Astyanax mexicanus: one gene and its partner. The protein of the gene in region 1 interacts with the protein of each later gene in a biochemical or structural test. Links are inferred from orthologs where the notes say so. Each region holds a gene or a part of one and is shown in the gene's direction. Other genes may lie near its edges.

Region 1 (11,228 bases):
GTGTGTGTGTGTGTGTGTGTGTGTGTTTTTGTGTGTGTGTGTGTAACCTGATACTGAACACTGCATTAAAACCATTGATCACTGGGCTTTTAGGGGTGTGTCCAGCTTGTGGCTTAGGCTCTAAAATGATATTTGCCACCCCCACCTACCCTTAATGATGCAGCATTTAAGGTGGAACAAAAAAGATCTCCTTAAATCTGCATCATGTAAGGTAGACTGATCCACCTTATGTGTTTTTAGCAGAATTATTTTTATACTACCTTTTAAAGTTAGTGCTGCACAAGGCTGATGGGCCTCTTCTTTGCAATATTCTTACCACCTTAAATCCATTATATAAGATGCAATGGAAAGTATGAAAGAGGCTAAGTGTTTTTTCTCTCACTCTCTTTCTCTATCGCTCTTTTCCTTCCTCTCTCTTTCTTCCTGACAAATTCAGAAAAAGAGGAAATGCAGAATGAGTGTAAATGGCTAACTGTGCGTGTGTGTGGGGTGTGTGTCGCTTTCGACTAAGTTTTCGGACATGTGGAGGCACATCTTCCGCACCAAGCAGCGCGTGTGTGAGGCAAGTTAACATCATCCATCTAAAATTTGGATAGAGAGAGGGAAGGGGGCACTAAGTGAAAAAAGGGAATTAGTTTTGAATGAAAGGGCAGTGAAAGGCAGTGTTCCTTATCTTTCTGTGTGCTGCCGGTTCTTTTGAGTGGGGAAGTGTATGAGACTGTCACTTTGTAGTTTAGTGTGTGTGTGTGTGTCAAGGCTTCTGTGAAGATTCTTTTTACTACTACTCATTTTTGACTTTGTGTATCTACTACAGCAACTATTAGGTCTTTAAAGGCAGATACGTTTTGTTGCAGTTGAATCCGAGTTAAGGCAGAAACTTTTTGTAGCAGTTGAGTCCAAGTTAAGGCAGAGACCTTGTAGCGGTTGGGTCTGAGTTAAGGCAGAGACTTTGTAGCAGTTGAGTCTGAGTTAAGGCAGAGACTTTGTAGCAGTTAAGACAAAGACTTTGTAGCAGTTTAGTCTGAGTTAAGGCAGAGACTTTGTAGCAGTTGAGTCTGAGTTAAGGCAGAGACTTTGTAGCAGTTAAGGCAGAGACTTTGTAGCAGTTGAGTCTGAGTTAAGGCAGAGACTTTGTAGCAGTTAAGGCAGAGACTTTGTAGCAGTTGAGTCTGAGTTAAGGCAGAGACTTGAGCAGTTGAGTCTGAGTTAAGGCAGAGACTTGAGCAGTTGAGTCTGAGTTAAGGCAGAGACTTGAGCAGTTGAGTCTGAGTTAAGGCAGAGACCTTGTAGCAGTTGAGTCTGAGTTAAGGCAAATACTTTGTAGCAGTTGAATCTGAGTTAAGGAAGAGACCTTTTTTTCAAGCCATTTTCTAGTAGTAGTCTAAGAATCTGACTTAAGACTGAAACTTTAAAGCGGTCATGTCTGGGCAAATCAAGGCTGAGTGTTTGTGAAATCCTGGACATTGGTTTGCACGTTTTACTTTGTACTTTTTGTCAGAGTCTTTTATCACAGTAGCCTGTGTAGTGGTTGGTTCCAGTCTTTATTATATCATATTTTTTGCTCTATAAGGTGCACTATCAATGAATGTCTATTTCCTGGTCTATTTTCATACACAAGGTACACCAGATTATAAGGCTCTATAAAGAACTTGTAATTAAGTAGGTCTTGCCACTGGGTGATGGTGGGGGGGTAACTAGGTTAAGGAAAGCTAAGCTAAGTAAACAAAACTGTAATAGAAAAAAGACTTTCTTTTAAAGTCAAACGAATGCTTGATGTTAATCTACACAGATGGCTACAGGCCAATAATACTCCCTCTGAACGGTGAAATAGTGGTTAGCAGCTAATGCTAATGCTACTCCAATGCCTGAAACATTAAACTGAAACTCCTGAATAACCCTCAATTTGGTGTCTTTACTGCTCCTTACAACCTGCCTGGTAGAATTCACACATTAGAGGCACTGGATTAAAAGGCGCACTGACAATTTTTAAGTGCACCTTCTATTATAGTGCGAAAAATATGGTAGTCGTGTCCAGAGTCAAGTTTAAGTCTTGGTAAAGGCAGAGACATTGTATTTGATTAATCCGAGTCAAGGCATGTTTTGTAGTATTTGAGGTTAAGTCGATGGTTAGTCCTTATAGTTTTCAAAGTCATGAACAAGGTTTGGTAGCATTCGAAACTAAGTTAAGGCCCAGACTTTTAACAATTAAATGAAAATGATTAGTGATAATCAAGTTTTGGTCCAGGCCTAGTAATTGTACAATTCTGGCAAGCACTGGATTCTGATATACTACTAAAGTAGTGCAGTAAGAGTATCTGTGACTGAGTCCTCTCCCCCCCTCTGGAGCTAAACTCGATGGTGTAAGAGCGGAGAGTGCATGTCGTTGTTGATCTGAAGCTGCTGTGTTGAAATAGCAGAAGGAACAGAGGAAATTTCACTTGAGTCATTTTTACATGATTAGGCTGGACTGTGCGTGTGTGTGCTCGTGTCTCTATGTGTGTGTGTGTGTGTGTGTGTGTGTGTGTGTGTGTTTAAGGGTAGTTGGTGATTGTTTTAGTAGAACGAGTAGCTGTTTATGAGCTTTGAAAAGTGGGAAACAAAGTTATGCAGTAATGGTGAGTTGTGTGTGTGTATGCGTGCGTGTGTGTTTGTGGCATCATAGTGACTTCATATTTTTTAGCTGTAGGAGTTAAGACAGGAACTTGTAAATAAAAGACACTACATAATCCATAGTGATATTAATAGTTATATTAATATTAATAGTAATATTAATATATTAATATTAATAGTAATGTTGATATTTTAAAATTCATAATACATACTGATAAAACTTTAGCATATTTAATTCATAGTGGATACTGAATGATTCATATTTGTTTCTAAATTATTCATTGTAAATAATGAATACATTATCAGTGGATGCCAAATGATTTGCACTGGATACTGTAATCACTAAATAATTTGTAGTATATAATATAAATCAGTCATAGTGGATACTAACTAATACATAGTCATAATCATTCTCCTCCTACATTGAACAGAAGCAGTCAGAGATCACGTGGGTGGAGAAAGACTTCTCCAACATTCGACAGGTAAGAACTCACCTGGAGCTTTCAGCTTAGACTCTGTCTTTTCTGCTGTAACTGAGCTACGAATTTCAGCTACTAACCTGCTGCTACACGCTTTTTGAAGATACTACCAAATTTTCACACTATAAGGCGTACCAGATTATGAGGCGCACTATCAATAAATATCTATTTTCATACATAAACCGCACTGGATAATAAGGCACATTTTGTGACACTAGTAAGGAATAAGGGTGTCGCCATGTTTACCTTTAAATTCAACAGGTCTGTCTGCTGCGTGGTGAGACCTGTAAAGCTAAGCTAAGTAAACAAAACTATTCTAAAAAAAAATATATAATAATAAAAAAAATTCAGTCATAAGTCCGTGCTGGATGTTAATTTCCTGAAAACTGTTTATTTGTGTTAGTAAAGCTTGTGCTTATTTACAGTAAGCTTAGATATCCACATTTTTACAGCACTAAGGACTGGAGCATTAGCATTAGCCGCTAACCGCTAGTGATTAGCTGCTAATGCCGCCCGACAGAACCCTGAGTGTTCCGGTAAGTGCGATATTAGCTATCGTCCCACGTAGCTTGTTTTAACACTGTAAACATGCAGTTTACAGTCAGATATACTCACCTTTAATCTAATGCTGTGGTAAGTGGATAATGTTAATTCTGCTTCTGCAGTGCTAGCGTGGGTTAGCAGCAAGCTACAGGCCAGTAACACTCACCTCTGGTCGGCCAACAAGCTAGCACTTAGGGCGGTTAGTAGCTGATGCTAATTCTAATGCTGGGCAACTAAACTGAAAATTCTGTTTAACACTGAATTTCAGCGGAGTGGTTTTAGAGTGTGGTTTGGTTTGTTTAATTTTTATCCCCAGATGCTATTTGGTTTTTCCGTTTTTTTTTTTTTCAGTATTGCAAGTCTTAGTAATTTTCTTTGGTCATGTGGAGTATTTCGTTTCTTATCTTTTTTTAATTTGTTAGATTATATTTTTGTCAACATTTTTGGGTTTATTTTCGTTTGCTATTTTTCTAATAATAATAGTAATTACATAATTAATTTTCTTTTGTTCATTTTTTTACTGGGAAAGTAACGCAATAGTTACTTTTACTGGTAACTAGTTACTTTTATAGTGGAGTAACTCCGTTAGTAACTCAGTTACTTTTTTGGAGAAGTAACTAGTAACTATAACTAATTACTTTTTCAAAGTAACGTGCCCAACACTGACAGCTGTCTGATTTAAAACGCTTGCCAGATGTGACCTACCCAGATGTGATCACTATCTTGTTGAAACGCAGTGAAAGCGTACCGCAGTTTGAGCGCATATAATTACTTTCTCAGTGGAAGTTGGGAATATGAGTTCCTATAGTAGAGAAGCATCACTATAGTGTATGGTGAGGTGGAGCAAGTCAAACGCTGTCCAACACGTACTCTGCATTATTTATTGATAAGAAAGAGGGAGAAGTTGTGAGCGGACACTGTAACTGCATGGCAGGTTCGCAGTGTGAAAAATGAAAGCAGGCGTGTTTACTATGGAGGACCAAAAATGACAGAAGTATAAATAAATAAATGTTTAAATAAATAAATGAATAAATAAATAAATGTTGACATAAATAAATGCACATATAAATGAATAAATAAATATATAAATAAGAAATGTATTTATTAATTTATTTACCTATACAATTATTTGTGCATGTATTTATTTATTTATTCATATATTTTTTTATTTATTCATTTATATGTGCATTTACATATATATTTATTAATTTCAACATTAATTTATTTATTCATTTATGTATTTATATATTTATACATTTCTATGTGTGTTTATTTATACTTATGTCATTTTTGGTCCTCCATAGTTTACTTGTTTAAAGAACAATTTGACCTGATTTTCAATGTTTATGACTCTCAGATTAGGTGAAGTTTGCATTCATGTTAAATTATGTTAAAGTTACGTCCACTGTTTTGAACGCTCTTTACGGCTAAACGGAAGTGTCCTAGGAACAGCTACGTCACTTCCTACGCTCATGAATATTCCTCTGAAACGGTCTATAAGATGCACTCACGATTTTTGGGAAAATAAAAGGATTTTAAGTGTGTCTATACTTCTACATAGTGATACAACTCCTGCTTCCGGACTGCAATAACAAAAACTGGGTTTTTTTGTATATTTTTTGGGGGGAGCATTCTGTGAAAACCCTTTTAAGGGAACTGGTTGAATTGTAACACAGCCTCTAATTATTATACACAGAGAAATGGTGCCCTCTAGTGTACAGCACTGCTGTAGCATTAAGTCTCACTTTCTCTTGTTCACTCTACCCTAAACTTTTAATCTCTCTCTCTCTCTCTCTCTCTCTCTCTCTCTCTCTCTCTCTCTCTCTCTCTCTCTCTCTCTCTCTCTCACTTTCTCTCTCTCTTTCTCACCTTACTCTTTTTCTCTCTTTCTTTTACAATCACCCTCACTGTCTCTACCTCTGTCTTTACCCTCTTTATCACTTTACCCTTCTCCTCCATCTCTTTCTCACTTTCTCTACCATAACTCCTCAGTCTTTTTCTTTTTTCTACTTCAATCACCATCATCTCACTTTCTCTCTCTCTCACTCTCTCTCTCACTCTCTCTCTTCATTACTATGTGTAATTATTTGTTCTTTCTATCTTTATTCTCTTTCTTTTTTACATCTTACTCTTTTTCTTTTTTGTGATTAAGGATTTGTATGGGGAGCAGCAGACGGGCAGAAAGAGTGAATGCAAAATAAAAAGGAGCATGAGTGACAAATATCTATGGGCACAATCTTCACAGATAGAGATAAATAGGAGAAAGTGTCCGTATTCAAAGCATACTTTCCAAGAAAATCCAAAATATTCAGCACAAAAGTCTGTCATGTTTTAACAGGGCTTAGCATGGTGAAGTCGAGTTATGGTACATTCAAGTTTTGCTATATTCAGTAGATTAAACACCCAAAATGATTCCATGTAAAGGCCAGGTGTAATCCAGTTTTGTAGAATTGTCTCTTTAGCAGCAGTAAATCCAGAGAACAATAGCTTGCACTGTATCATCTTCAACTCCAAGTTGGAGTTATCATTCAGGAGACAAAAGCATGGATCCCAATTGTATTCTGTTTTAAGAATATCAGACAACACTGTGTTCACATATCTCCAAAATTGTATAATTACAGGACATACCCAGAACATACGAGAAGCAAAGGTGTTACATTTATGGCAGTAATAGTACATTTGAATTTTAACCTAAGGTGGTAATAGAAAGGGGGTTTGTAGAGGCTTGTGATAAATCCTAGCAACACATCCTCTTAAAGGTAAATGAGGTTGTATCTATTTCACCATTGGATGAGTTGCTATTTGAGAGCCCCTTGGGCCCATATATGCTTTGAGTGCTGATCTTATATGCAAATACACAAAATAGGTAGAAGATGGCAGATTAAATGTAACCTTAAATGACTGAAAAGAGTGAAAACCTCCATCGGTCAACGGTCAACCACAAACGTTAATACTCTCTTTTACAATCACCCTCACTCTCTCTACCTTTGTCTTTACCCTCTCTACCACTTTACCCTTCCCCTTCATCTCTATCTCACTTTCTCTACCATCACTAACTCTGGCCTATTTCTTTTTTCTCTGTCAATCACCATCATCTCTCTCTCTCTCTCTCTTTCTCTCTCTCTTTCTCTCTCTCTCTTTCTTTCTCTCTCTCTGTCTCTACATATCTAGCTTATTTTTTAGCATTTTCTCTTACTTTCTTTCTTTCTCCATCTCCTGTATGTTTCTTTCAGTTCAGTAAGTTTCTCTATCTCTCTCTCTCCCTCCCCTTCAACCTCTTCCTTCCTGTCTAACTACATTTCACATCCCTCGTTCAGGCTCTCACACTCGCTCTCGCGCTGCAGCAGTACGAGTTGTAGTGTGAGTTGTGTGAAGCTGGGCGAGCGGTAGTCAGTTAGTGTTGTGAGAGAGAGATGCCGAGGTCCGTCAGATTAACCATAGCAGGAGGCAGATAGAGGAGGTGACTGTGGGAACCCCGGACTGGTGGAGAGATGAAGAGATGGAGAGAGAGAAAGAGAGAGGGAAGTTTAAGCTGAGGCAGGTGCTCACACTCTACCTGTTTAAAAGACAACAGCGGAAAGCGCTGACTAACGGCGCTAACGACCCTAATGGCTCTAACTTCTGTCCACTGGTGGAGGCCAATAGCAGCACAGCTGCCACCGCATCATTAACTGCATCCAGCACCGCTTCAACATGCGAACAGAGGCAGTGGATGGTCAGTACACAACATGCACGCACACAGACACTATTACATAAGTCTACACTCTCTTAAGAGTTAGTGCTTCTTTAAGGGATGCCATAGAAGAACCAATTTGGTTCCATAAACAACCTGGTTTAATAAAGATTAAAAAGAAGAACCTTATGGTATAGATGGTAGAAATTAATTTTATGTGAGGCAACACCTGCTGTCCCATTACTTTTGGCATGTCAGCGTAGAAAAAAAAAACTCGCACCTTCCAAACATGGTAGAGGAAGTTTTGTACACTGTTACTGTAATAAAAAAAGATCAATGACTATATTTAAAAATATTGTCTTACACTGGTCTAATAGTTTAGTGGTGTCTTGCTGGTATTGGACTGGTTCTGATACCTGGTCTTAGATGGGTTCAGCCTGTAGTGTTGTGTGATTAGGACTGGGTCAGGGCAGCTGTTAGTTTCGATGTGAGAGGAGGAGCAGTACTGAGATGTGATGAGGATGTGATCTGTGGGTGTTTACGTCTTTTAAAAGGTGTCAAACACTCGACTCAAAGTGTAACTAAGTGGAGGTGGTTAATTTTAATGTGATATCAGCACAATTAGAAGGAAAACACACTTTGTTTGGCGTGACTTGGCTGCTCTCACTCTGTTTTCTCTATGGCTGCCTGTGTTTGTATATGGGTAGCGGTAAGTGGCAAGTAAAGGTTCAGTGCAGTCAAACTCATTAGCAATATTAACCAATAATGCAATAATATGAAAAAAATCAACAAAACATAACACAAAACAACGCAGGTGACCAAGTCGAGGTAATAGTGTTAAAAAAAAATCCTCAGAGCTGGAGGAACAAACCTTGGTAGGACTCACTTTTTTTTTTTGGTCAAACTAAACATAGCACAAAGTTTTGTGTTTTTTCCTGTAAAAACACTTTTTTTAAGTTTCTGGTGCCATTTCTGCCTGACTGGCACCTGATTGGCAGAACCTGTAAGAAATTGGCCCTGCGGCAGTGGTCAGAAGGTGTCTATGCGTTAGGAACAACTTCAAGCTGGTGCTCTGCAAAACCAAGCTGAGGCTTCATATGGAGTAAGCCCTGGAATAATTTATACAGTCATATGAAAAAGTTTGGGCACCCCTATTAATCTTAGTTCTAAATATTTGGGTGTTTGCAACAGCCATTTCAGTTTGATATATCTAATAACTGATGGACACAGTAATATTTCAGGATTGAAATGAGTTTTATTGTACTAACAGAAAATGTGCAATATGCATTAAACCAAAATTTGACCGGTGCAAAAGTATGGGCACCCTTATCATTTTATTGATTTGAATACTCCTAACTACTTTTTACTGACTTACTGAAGCACAAAATTGGTTTGGTAACCTCATTGAGCTTTGAACTTCATAGCCAGGTGTATCCAATCATGAGAAAAGGTATTTAAGGTGGCCAATTGCAAGTTGTTCTCCTATTTGAATCTCCTCTGAAGAGTGGCATCATGGGCTCATCAAAACAAAACATCAAATGATCTAAAAACAAAGATTGTTCAACATAGTTGTTCAGGGGAAGGATACAAAAAGTTGTCTCAGAGATTTGCAAAGGTAAACTAAACCTGCATACAGGAGTCTGCAAGATATCCCTTAAAAGTCTCACTCGAATGTGTGACGGTTTAAAGCTTTATCATATATATTCAAGATTCAAAATATGTGTGACTTCCTCATTTGCCTTATTTATCTGGAAAACTGTTGCACAGACAGTAGCGTAAGCTAGCCTGTTAGTAGTTAGCCTGGGGCAAAGGTGTTAGCAGCAAGCCTGTAAGGGGCTAGCATGTTAGCAGTTAGCCTATTAGCGGTTAGCCTGTCACTATTTATTTAGATAACTGTCCTGTTGTCCTGTTATTTTTTGTCTAAACGTTTATAAGTAAACAGCCTGAATGTTGTATTTAATAAATTTTCTGTTAAAAAAATAACCCAACATTTAATTATTTTGCAGCCATGTAAACATAGGACTTTAAGCAGTTCCTGCAAATTCCTGTCCCATATAATAGCATATACCACAGTAATGTTTTCACAAAAAAAAAGTGATATTGCCCAACCCTTATTGTGTTAAGATATTTAAATTGGTCTTGTTTGACTTGTTTGAAATGTACCAGTAAGGCTGGGGTTTTCAATACAGTGTGGTGCAAGATTTACAGTTAATTTGTCCAGTAAGTGCATCTGTAAAGCTGGGTATTCCAGTGGCTATTAAGGGCAACTGTAATGCTGGGTTTCCAAGTCAGTGGCCAATAAGGGTAAATGTAAGGCTGGCATTTGAAATAAAGTGGCCAGTAATCGTAGCTGTAGAGCCGGGGTTCTGATAGACAGCCTGTGCTGGTGATAGTAAAGTAGTGTGTATTTAAATCCCTCTGTACAGCGAGATTATTTTGAGTTATTTGACACTGTGGTTTAAATGGTGAAGTAGGCTCGTTTCCCGTAACTGTGCTGCGAGGTGGAGTTCCTCTGCTGGTTCCTGTGTGTGTGTGTGTGTGTGTGTGTGTGTGTCACCGCATCTGATCTCATTTATTATATGTTATTTGTTATATTATATTATATGTTTCTCAGAGCTCTAATGGGTGTATTAATAAAGACTATCCAGCGGAATTCTCTGCTGAATGATGCACATGCACTCAGAGGATTTTTGTAGCGAGGCAGAATTTAGCACAATAACTGGAAAGACAACTTATTACATTGTTAACACAACATGCCCTTCTACAAACCAATCAGTGTCAGCACACACAGGTGAAGATAACTGAACACAGCGCGCAGTTCTTCAGTTTGTTGCTGAACTGCAGTGTGAAATCAAAACTATCTGGACCTAATGTAAACGATGCATACAGACTGTGATTCGCATACTGGTCCACACGTTCAGGTGTAAAAAAAGCCCTAAATATGCACATGTTTATATTTTATACTCCCATTTCCCACCAAGCACCTGTGCTTCATTTCACCTAAAGGAACAGGTTAAACAATCTAATACCAGTTGACCAGACTTATTTGGTCCACAATGGGAGATGCTAGGCTAATATTGCTAACAAACACTGTCACTATTCTCTTCTTGCATGCTTTTGGTCTGGTCTTAAGAAGCGGGAGGTGCTTCTGGTGTCACACAGCTCCAAACCGCAGACTGCAGCTGATAATCTGACTGGTGATAATGGGGGTTTCCAGGCTGATATGCTGTTAATGTGAATAAGAACCTATGATGCTGGTTCCATGAATTAGATCATGGAAATTGTGATGTTAATCTGGACACAATGAAGCCATGAAGTGATGCAGTAGGGTTTTTTTTGTTTGTTTTTTTTGGGGGGAAACTAGAGATAAGGACTTTATTATATTTTACATTTTAAATTTGGGCTTTAAACTGTCCTTTCATTTTTATTTTGGAGTTTATTCTGTTTAAAATTCTGGCCTCTCTCTTACTGTTCTCTTAATTTTTATGTTTATCCCTATTATGTCCTTGACTTTTGATATTGTAATTTACTTTGTTCCTTATTGTTTTATTTTAAATCCTGTGTCTAGGTTTTATTAAATTTTTATTTGTTTCCAAAATAATGTTGAGTTATTAAAATAAAGCTTCCTTTATAAAACCTAACCAAAAATGTGTCCTTTTGCAGGATGATGATGTCATCAAAGAGATTAACATCACACATGTGGTTAAAGAGGGGGCGGAGAAAGCAGACCCATCCCAGTTCGAGTTGCTCAAGGTGTTGGGCCAGGGGTCTTTCGGCAAGGTATGAAAACACACACACACACACACACACACACACACACATTTCTATATTATACTAAACATTCTCTAAACAGTTTTAATTATAACCTCCTAATGCTTAATATGCAAAACCCATCCCCATGGCCATCCTCTTAAAATCTCGAT
Region 2 (11,162 bases), on another chromosome or scaffold:
AAGCAACTCTGGTAGAAATCGCATTTCTCCACATTCAACACCCCCATATCCCACAAGGTAAGTGCAGCTCTCTTTAGCTTATATGGGACATAGCAAAAGTCATGGGACACACTACTAGTTCAAGTCCCATAACATTTAGCATGTGAGTGTATGTATTGGTAGTCCAAATGATTTGATTGGATGTGTCACAAACTTAATATGTGCCTTTGTATGACTTTGAATGACTTCAAAGGTCAAGAAGACAATGTTAATGTCATCAAGTGATGGAGGAGTGGGTTGAAGAGTGAAGATGATCAAATGTCATGATCAGATGGATAAAAAAGAAAGTAAGCAGATTAAAGAGCACTGAGAACTGGTGGGACTTGGGTGTTTGGAAATGTGTGTAGGGAAGATTCCAGCAGTGGTGGGCAGCAGCAGTGAGGGATGTGTGTGGTTGATGTAGTATAATGAGTGGGTAACACACAGGGGCCTTTCCTGTGCTAGACTGGGGTTTGAGTTCCTGGCTGGGTAAGAGCACCACACTATACATTGTGTACAACACCAAAGCATTGCTTTCTTTTACCGGTGTAACACGCTTTACATGTAATTTGCTCTGAAAAAATGTAACAATGTGCACCATCCAGGGTTCCTAGGGTCATGAAAAACCTGGAAAAGTCATGTTTTTTGAAAATAGCAATTCCCCAGGCCTGGTTAAGTTTTGGAAAAATAAAAATACCTAGAAAGTTTTGAAAAAGTCATGAAAATTTGGTCAACAAATCTATGTTTTCGTTTATTGATGCTCAAATACGTCAGCTCAGAGTTAATTCAGCAATTTAGCCCTACACAATGGAGCTCTCAGGATCTGACACACATTTTATTATTAAAGATTGTGTTTCAACATTTTTCTAAGATTAATTTTAGGCCTACTATAATCAAATTCGATTATAGTTTTAGTTGATTTTTGGTTTTATTGTCCATGTCTGCACTGGTGTTTTAAAAATCATGTGGTCATAAAAATTTGCCTTGAAGGCATGGAACAGTCATGAAAAATAACTGAAATATATTGGTTAAAATGTGTATGAACCCTGACCATCAAATGATTTTAAAAAGAAAAAGGTGGTTGGTGTGGTGCAATGGATAACAGTACTACCTGTCTGCCAGTGAGCTACAACCACATGTAGAGGAGTGGGGTTCAATACCCACTCTGGTGACAAAACAGTGTGCCAATAGTCCTTGGGCAGACTCTTCTGTAATACCTCTATAGGACATGTAATAAATGCCAGAAATGTAACTGTAAAGTTTATTGATTTTTTTTTTTTAATCAAATTAGTGCATTACCAAAAGTTCAATATTACTAAATACAAAAATAATACATATTGTCATGCTATAAACGTACAGTATGAATATAGTTTAGAGTTTAATGTCTGTAGCTAAATCATGTGTATTAATTAAAGGCAGCAAGCTACTTATAATTCTTATCATAATTATCAAAATGTATTCTCAACTTTGTTTTTATCAAACTAGTGCATTACCAAAAGTCTAATATTATTAAGTACTAAAATAATACATATGGTCAAGCTTATAATATATATATATATATATAGTTTAGAGTTTAGTGTCTGTAACTAAATCATGTGTGTTAATTAAAGGCTGCAAGCTACTAATAATTCTTATCATAATTATCAAAATGTATTTTCAGGCTTTTATCAAACTAGCGCATTAACAAAAGTCTAATATTACTACATACTAAAATAATACATATTGTCATGCTATAATCTTATAGTATACATATAGTTTAGTGTCTGTAACTGAATCATATGTGTTATTTATAGAATAACTCATAGTTATTCTGTCACCTACTGGACTATGTATTGTTATTGAGTGTATCGTGTATATTTTTATACTGTAAAGCTATCTGTATATCTTATTTTATATTATATTTTATTTTATTATTCTTCTTGTAAATATTGTTCTCTGCACATTAGTGGGAATCTGCACCCACGTTTTTCACTCACATGTACACCTGTACTGAATCTTCAATCTTTAGAGGCTGCAGGCTACTAATAATTCTTATCATAATTATCGAAATATATTCTCAAAAAATATATATATATTCATTTTAACACTATTTTAACAACTTTTTTTACTTTCAAAGAAAACTGATAGAATTTTAAAGCACACGTGACTCTTCCCAGTGCTTTATTTTGATCTGAAAACAATGAACGTGTCCAAAATTCAGTGAAACAAAAGAAAACAAAAACAATGATGCTCCACCCACCGGCCAATCATATCGCTCACTCAGCTCACAAGCCACGCCCCCTCAGTGAACCCGCCTCTGTTGTAGTGGCTCCGCCCCCTCCACATGGCCCTGGTCCTAAAGTTAGAGCAGTAGTGTGAGGGGAGCAGTCGCAGAGGTGAGGAGTGTTCAGCGGAGAGAGCGGAGTGCAGAGTGATAAAAGAGTGATAGAGGGAAGATTAAACGGGGGATTGGAGTGATCATCACTCGCGCGGCAGTGTGTGTGTGTGTGTGTTTGATCAGATCATGAAGAATATGACTTTCAGGCGGATCAAGAAGCTGAACTCCAGCGAGCCGGACGGAGGCTCCTGCCCGGGCAGTGGAGATATCTACTTCTCCTCCTCCAAATCAGACAGCTGCAGGAACATGGAGAGACCAGCCAGCTCCTCAGACATCTACAACTACAAGACCCTCGCTTACTCTGGAGGAACCCTGCCCAGGAACTTCAAAAAGGTAAGAAACTCTATTTTCTGGAAGCTCAGCTTATTTCTCACGCTCTGGAGACCATGGGTTTTTGCTCTGGGCTGTAGGTTGCAGCTTCTTTAAAATCTAAAAGCTACTACTTTAAGTGGATCGGTGTTTCCCAGCAACTCTGGTTCAGAATATCCTCCAGTCCTTTGAGGACCATTGGTTTGCATTTCTTTGATATCTTTTTTTTGTACTCTTCCCAACACACACGTTGATCACCCATGGTCTTCTCACATGTTGAAGGACATTGGTTCTTCTCTGGGATGGTGGCAGTAGCTAGCTTTATTTTGAAGCTGTTGTGTTCTTTAAAGACTTTAAGACCATTGGTTCCCAACCCAAGTTCTGGATGAACTCCTTCTCCTGCACATTTAAGTGTTCACTTAAATGGCTTGTTGTAATACTTTAGGTAGCAGCTTCAAGTTCTTCAGTGCAGTGGTCCCTGTGCCTGGTCCTAGTGGAGCTTTAGTATTTAGCATGAACAACACTCATGATCTTCTTACAAATTAAAACCCATTGGTTCTGCTCTTGGTTGAGGATAGCAGCTTCTTTTAAACCTAAGATCCGTGGTTCCCAGCATCAATGGTTCTGAATATTCTCCAGTCCCATGAGGAACATTGGTTTGCAATTATTGTTTTTCCTTTTTTTTTTTTTTTTACAGTTCCCAACACACCTGCTCATGATCACACCTTAATTTTGAGAGTCTTGGTCTTCCAACTCCCATGGTCTTCTCACATGTTGAAAGCCATTGGTTCTGCTCTTTTAAAGCTGTTGTGTTCTTTAAAACCTGTTTAAAGAACTAAATCATGTGTGTTATTTCATATCATAATTAATATAAATTCTTTAAATGATCAGAATTAATCACTTTTAAAAAGTAGAAAAATAAAACTGTCATAGAGGATTTTGAAATCTATTGGTTCTTCTCTCATGCTAAGGGTCGCAGCTTTAGACTCTTCAGTGCAGTGGTCCCCATGCCTTGTCCTTGTGATTCTTTAGAATTTATTCTGATCAACACTCATGATCTTCTTACAAATTAAATATCATTGGTTGGTTCTGCTCTTGATGATAGCAGCTTCTTTTAAACCTACTACTTTAAGATCAGTGGTTCCCAGCATCTTTGGTTCTGAAGAAGCTCCAGACCTATGAGTGCCATTGTTTTTTTTTTTTTTTTTTTTTTTTTACTACTTTAGACCCTTTAGCTTTGTGGTTCACAAGCTTGCTTATGGTGGTCCTTTAATATTTACTCTGTTTCCAACACCCATGATCTTCTCCATTTTAAGGAGGGTAGCCAAGCGTAGCAGCTTCTTGTACAGTTTCAGATAACACATTTTGCAGACTCCTCACGTTAGAGGTGCTTGTGGTCCTGCTGTGTTCACCCTGCTCTCAACACCCATGGTCTTATATTTTGAAGTCTGTTGGTTCTTCTCTCTGCTGAGGGTAGCAGCTTCTTTTACAACTTAAGATAACACATTCTGTAGACTTCTCACATAAGTGCTTCCCAACATTGGTACTTGTGGTCCTGCTTTGTTTACCCTGCTCTCACGCCTTGGTCTTCATATACAGTATATTGAAGCTTATACAGCATTTCTAGACTCCTGTGATTTCTAGACTTCTAGATTCCTGTGCCTAGTCTTGGTTGTTCTTTTGTATTTACCCTGTTTCCAACACACACAGTCTTCTTTTATATTAATAGCCATTGGTGCTTTTTGTTACACAAGGTAGTGGATTATTTAAAAACACTTTAACACTTTTTCTAGACTCTTTAGGTCATTCGTTTCTAGCCATAATTCTGAAAGACCTCCATTTATACAAAGAATGTTGGATCTGCTCTATGCATTAGAAAACAAACTTTGGGATTGTAGGTCCTGCATGCTCCCAGCACCCATGGTCTTCTTACATTTTGAAGGCCATTGTTTCTTTTCTCTGCTGCGTGTAGTAGCTTCTTTTACAACTTCAGACAACTCTGTTTAAAGGCTCTTCTGGTCCGTGGTTCCCATGCCTAGTGCCTAATGTTTACCCTGCCCCCAACACTCCTGATCTCCTTGCTTTTGAAGACCATTGGTTCTTCTCTCTTCTGAGGGTAGTAGCTTATTTTTAAGCCTTTGGTAAGCACCTGTCGTAGACTCTTTAAGATCACTTGTTCCCCCACTTGTTTCCAACTTTGATTCTCTCACTACTGACTAACTGATTAAACAAGTGGATTTGGGTGTGGATAAAGTTGCTCTGGTTTCAAGTCTGGTTATGGAATACCTCTTGTCATATACATTTCAATGTTTTTTTTCTTTCTTTCAGATCAGTGGTTCCCAAGCCTGTTCTTGGTGGTCCAAGTGTTTGCTTTGCTCCCAGCACCTGTGGGCTTCTTATATTTTGAAGGCCATTGGTTCCTCTCATTGCTGGGGGTGGTAGCTTCTTTTAAAACTTGAGGTAGCACTATTTCTAGACTCTTTAAATCAGTGGATCCCAACTCAATTTGGAGTTTACCCTGCCCCCAACACCCCTTACCATCTTATAATTTGAGGACCATTATTTTCTTGTTCTCTTTATAACCGTGGTTTCCAATGGTCTGTGATATATTTTAGAAAATGTGGTGGTGTAAAAATTTGTTTTTTTTCCCACAATTTTCTAGTTTTCATTTATCTCTATCACAATCTGAATTTCAAGAAATATTTTATTTCCCCATCTGATGATATAATCCAACCTACTTTTGTTACAAGATGAATATCGCAAAATTGAGTAAAGCTTTATTTTTTTTTATTTGCATTTTGAGGGGCAGAATTGAAAAACTAGAAATTTGGGCAAGCTTATAAATAAGCCCCCGGAAGAATTTGTAAACAACAGACTCTTCCAGAGTAGAAATTGGATTGTTTGAACAGGAACCCACTAAAATGTGCAAGGCAGAGCCATGGTTGGGACCATTGCTTTGAAATCATATTGGGATACTGGCTTTAAATACCGCTATAATTGTCATATTACTGATTATCAATTAAGTTCCACCAGACTTTCTAATAAACTGGCACATGCAGATCATCTATGACCAAAATAATGTTATGTGACATTTTAATCTTCAGATTAATTGTCTAAAATTACCCCCTACTGCGAGAGAAGCTGAAGTGAACTCTGTTCTTGTTAAGCTTCTATAAACAGCACTGCTGAAGTGCTGTGATTAATTAAGGTTGATTAGAAACAGTGGTCGGTGGTGATGTGGCTGCTGCACGCGGCTGCTGGTGAATGCAGCAGCGGAGTCAGCACGTGCGTTTGGACACGGTCGCAGTTGGCTAGTTGTAAACGGCGCGTGGCATGTGAATCGTTTCTCACCTGCGAGCTTCCGCGAGCTTTTTTACACCTGCTCACACCTGGTCTGATATTTACATACGTTAGGAGCACTGCACGAGACCTGCTTACCACTAACTGCCCACTCAAAGTAGGTATAATAATGTATTTCATTCTGAGTGAACAAACACTGTGCGTGTGTGTGGTAACTTAAATCAGTTTCTGTATAAAATATCAAGCTCTTTATCTAGGTATTAAATGAATGAATGAATAACTGGCATAGACATAAAAGCTCCCTGTAATGGACATCATTCGTTAACACATGCTGTATATATTGTATATCTCACAGACTAAATTTCATAGCTGCACATTTATTCACCTAAAATTACAGAACTATTATAAAATATGTAATCATAATCACACCTGCCACACGTTATTTTTTAAAGGAATACCTACACTCCATAATATATTTTAGTTACAGTAATAGCTTTTATTATTTAAGTATATTTCAATGTGACTTGCTGTGGGGCTTTTAATTTGAAGCTCAAAACGGCGGATTAGAATTGTATTGACTAACAGCTGGCTAAGCGGCGTTGCTAACAGCTAGCTAAGCGACGCTGGTAACAGCTAGCTAAGCGGCGTTGCTAAACGGCGTTGCGAACAGCTAGCTAAGCGATGCTGCTGACAGCTAACCTGGCTAAGCGGCGGTGCTAACCGCTAGCTTAGCAGCGGTGCTAACAGCTCAGCGGCGGTGCTGATTAGATGTGGTATGTTCACAGCTTTTTGATATGTGTTTGATGGTACCTTACTCTGGTCCTCAGTTTAAAGGTGAGAACTCCAATTTACTTCATAACAAGCATAAAAGATGGTCAGTAGTTCGTCTCAGTAGCTAGCTAACCTAGCTAACTCTTCTATTCCACCTTAAATGGAACAGAGGAGGCATTAATTAAGGTGGAACGGAAAAATAAAATCAAATAAAACCCATTGAAAACTTAATTCAGCTACCCCTCACAGAAGAATTAGGAAATAGACAATATTAATTAATTGCTGCTTCATCTGCCCCCTTGCTGAAAGTGATTCCAGAGTTTGTTGTTGATAATTATCATACTTAAAAATGCCCAAAATTTCTTTGTAAATTTTGTGAAGAGTTTGTGATGAATTGGCCAAAAGAAATGCTCCAATGATATAATGATACAATGTCTTTTTTCTGTGCTTATTTATGATTTTATACGTGAATTTAATGGTATACATGCATATTGTCATACTTCTATAATCAAAAAACAAGTCCTAAATGTGCTGTAGGGGTGTATGTTAATATAGATGCAACAAAGTATCACAGTATTATGAGTTGCAGTTCTAAATTATATTGGTTCTCTAAAACACAGTATTTATTGTTATTTATTACACGGACGATTGGTGTCAGAAGTGGTTTGCTGCTATTCTAGTGGGCAGGATTTAAACGCAACACATGTGTTTAAATCCTGCCCACTAGAATAGCAGCGCCAGTGATGTACTCAGATTTCACTGTTATAAAAGTTTCTTTCTTTCAGCTTTTATAAATAAAAAAAAATAGTATTTATACTATGGCAGTTTATCTACAACTGGATTTGAGTAATATACATTGCATTATATAATTATATCACAATATATTGAGTTATAACCCCTGTATTGTGTCTCTGGAGGCCTCCAGTTTCACAACACGAAGCACTTCACTCACAGGAGCCATTCATCTCCTGAGCCGTGCTGAGCTGGGTGGTGTTCTCTGGGAAATAGTGGTGTAATTTCCAGCACTGTTACAGCACACATGGTCACTTACTCACTGTTCTCTCTTCTCTTCTCTTCTTTTCTCCTGGGTCCACACATCTTGAAGGACGTTCATGGTCACTGATGGCGTTATGGGGTCTAGACCACCCACACACTCTGCTCTTGACCAGAGACTCTGACCCTGGGCTGGTCTGACGCACTGTAAGTGGTCAGTCGGATCCTGCACATTACAATGGGCCCCCCTGTGCGGAGTACAGCGCTGTACTGTGCGTTATATGGTGTGGATTTGCTTTGTTGGCGTCATTAGAAGGGTTTGGCTCGTCATTGCACTGACCGTGGGTCAGGGTGGTCATTCCTGTGGCTTGTTCAGTGAGGGGATAAGTGTCCAAAGCTCAAACAAACCACTTTGTCCCATTCGTTCTGTCTGATAACTGGAGTGTAACTTCTTGAAAGAGTCTGAATTCAGCGTGGCTTATTGTGCTGAGTGATCCGGGCCACTGTGACCAATGGAGATGCCTAAGTAGCTCAGATAGAAGAGAGAAGAACGGAGAGTGTACCTTCTTTGCAGTTTAGAGCCGTATTCTGAGTCTGAATGCAGTGGGACACCTGCTTATTTAATTGTTTTGGTCTGATATGAAGGGTTTAAAAAAAGGTTTATATCCTGTTTTTGTTGGAGTTACTGTCTCTCCTGTCCATGGAAGGCTTTTTTTAAAATCGATTTTAGGGCATTGCTGTGGAGATTTTATTTCATTTAGTGTAACAGGAACATCAGAGGTCAGGACATTGGATATATCAGTGTTTCCAGTTTCCAACCAAAGAAAAATAATTTCATTTTGAAGAATATCTATTGGTACCTTGGTCCATAATAAAATGGGGATGCAATATAAAGAATAACAGTCAGATTTAGGTGGTTAAAAAGTAGAAAAACTACAAAAATGGAGATACAAGAATTTTGTGGCCGTGAAAATATGTGTCCATAATTTGACCAATCTTTGTTTTTAGATTTTATATTAATGATAGTGATTCACATGCAACCACAAAATTACTGGTAAAAGTTGGGACTACTTTTTTTGGCGGAGGAATTTATCTGATTATATTTGGAACAGTATACAAAAATAATTGTATTGCAAAAGGTCGTATAAACCCAGAAGAGAGTTTAAGGTCATGCTATCGTGAGTAGCATCACAGCTTTGATGATATAAACAGCCGGTGTGTGTCTGCGGCCGACTCACAGCCTTGATGCTACTTCTGATAACAGACAACTGCATACAAAATGTTGCTCAAACATGCAGTGGCATTGAAATATGTTCTTAGGTAGAGATACTACATATCTTATAACTCGTATCTCCAAAACGGCGACTTTACAGTAGAAGCTGAAGAGCTTCTTATCTTTCAAAGGAAGTCAATGTAAATACATTCAATTCCAGGTGATTTTAGAGCATTTCTATTGGTCCATTTCTATTGAAATTTGGACGCAATGGTTTGAAAGTTTCTCAGATTCACGATTTGTCAAAAATAGGCCTGTTACCGATACTTTTTTTTTTGTTTGGATGCTGTATTGTCTCAGAAATTATTGCGATAAACAATTTTTGCCATTTAAACCCTTAAATGTCCTTGTTCTAATAAAAATATGTTGTTTACAGTAATAATATAAACTGAGCTCAGTTCAACATCTTCATTATTTAGATATACATTGACTCAAAGGTACAATATCGAACTGTTGAGGTGAAGTTAAAGGGTTAAACCAATTTAAAGCCACTGATATGAAATGACAATATAATAGCATAATGCATTTACTTAATTTAATTCATGATAGTTTGTGGGATGAGAGATTTATACTTTTTTCCTCACTCTGTGTGTATGGAGGCTCAATTATTGCTGTATTGGTCACTATGCTACTGGTAAAATATTGGTAAAATGTTAACTCAAATATTGTACAATAAATCGATATTGTAGTTATTGTGGCCGACCTAGACAAAAAGTGATTTGTATTGAGATAAATAAGCTATGATCTGAGTATAATGTGGGTTTTATGACTATAAACATCATGAGGTTCATGTCTTCATGAGGTAGAGTCACCTGGAATAGTTTTCTCAGCGTCTTGAAGGAGTTCGTGGAGGTGCTGAACAATAGTCGCTGTGAAGCTCCAGCTCATCCCACACCACCTCAAATCACCATCTCAGTTTATCAGGTTTAGATCAGGGGATTGTGGAGGAAAAACATATATATATTTTTTTAAATGTTTAATACGTAATTCTATATGTCTCCCTTAATTGTTTTCATGTCTTAAATATTAATCTACACTGAAAAACTTTGAATGAGAAGGTGTGTCCAAACATTTGACGGGTACGTATGACTTTACAGTAAATTTTGCTGGACACCCGTTACTGGACACTGGTTGGGCGATTTATGAAGAGCCTCCTGTATCCCACCTCCCACACCCAAACCAGCCCCCTGACCACAACAGGGTATTATTGTGTAGCTAACGAATTCTGCCCCCCCATTACAGCCACCCTCCTCAATACTACCACCCCCAAGGGAGCCTCGGGGGTACTTGGAAATAAATGAAGTCATTGAAGAGACCCCAGGACGATTGTGGAAGTGCTGGAAAATAAAGAAAGGCAGCATTTTACTGGAGCAGAAGGGCTTCTGGTACAAAGTGCACTTTGACTGCAACAACACTCCGGCCCATTGAGGTAGAAACGGGTGAATTGACTTCAGTCAAAACAGACATAACGCGGGGTGCACTCCCAGCCCCTTCGGCCGGTGGAGACTGGGTGGGGTCTCGCCTAGATTTGGCTTTTACATCAATGAAGGCATTGTGAGGAGGCGGCAGCAACTCCGGACCTGTGTTTGCCTACACTCGGCTCTGTGTGTAAACTGAGGTGTGTGTTAGAGTGATGGATTGGTCGGACTCGGGGCTTCCAGTAGACGTGGCCTCAGTAGAAGCAGCAGTTTACAGCAGATCCTGGGTTCCTGGAACTCACAGCAGAGTGCAGACACGCATCAGAGACTCATCAGATGACTTCAGATGCAATCTGATAGTGTTAGTAAGGTGACTGTAATCAAAAGTCCCTGTCCTTGAGTATCTAGGTATTTTAAAAAAATGTTCTTCCCCATATTTTGGCCTTCTGTCCACACAAACACCATGGAGTATAAAAAACCATCAGCTGAAAAACATTAACTGAGAAGTCCATAAATATATATCTTTCTTCTCCATGCTTTTTCTTCCTTTCCACACAAACGGCATTTTTTGGTTACTATAAATGGAGATTTTTGAAAATGGGGCTATCTGAGACTCATCAGACACAATATGGTGGCATCAGAAAAATGTGCAGGACTGTCAACTCTTCCACTGTTCAGAATCTGAGGAAAGAATAGCTGACCA

The links. The genes of interacting proteins can lie anywhere in the genome.
Region 2: the proteins of rps6ka1 (region 1) and tamalin interact in a test that uses a peptide from one of them, tested with the Homo sapiens proteins (2 studies listed by BioGRID and IntAct). The link is inferred for Astyanax mexicanus from reciprocal best matches to the Homo sapiens genes RPS6KA1 and TAMALIN.

Annotation. Positions count from the first base shown.
Region 1 is NC_064421.1:34,848,545-34,859,772, reverse strand, and holds the start of rps6ka1 (ribosomal protein S6 kinase alpha-1), read left to right. Parts: upstream 1-6,944; 5' UTR 6,945-7,131; coding exon 7,132-7,347; intron 7,348-10,968; coding exon 10,969-11,085; intron 11,086-11,228. UniProt on the Homo sapiens protein: Serine/threonine-protein kinase that acts downstream of ERK (MAPK1/ERK2 and MAPK3/ERK1) signaling and mediates mitogenic and stress-induced activation of the transcription factors CREB1, ETV1/ER81 and NR4A1/NUR77, regulates translation through RPS6 and EIF4B phosphorylation, and mediates cellular proliferation, survival, and differentiation by modulating mTOR signaling and repressing pro-apoptotic function of BAD and DAPK1.
Region 2 is NC_064420.1:44,914,343-44,925,504, reverse strand, and holds the start of tamalin (general receptor for phosphoinositides 1-associated scaffold protein), read left to right. Parts: upstream 1-5,900; 5' UTR 5,901-5,939; coding exon 5,940-6,161; intron 6,162-11,162. UniProt on the Homo sapiens protein: Plays a role in intracellular trafficking and contributes to the macromolecular organization of group 1 metabotropic glutamate receptors (mGluRs) at synapses.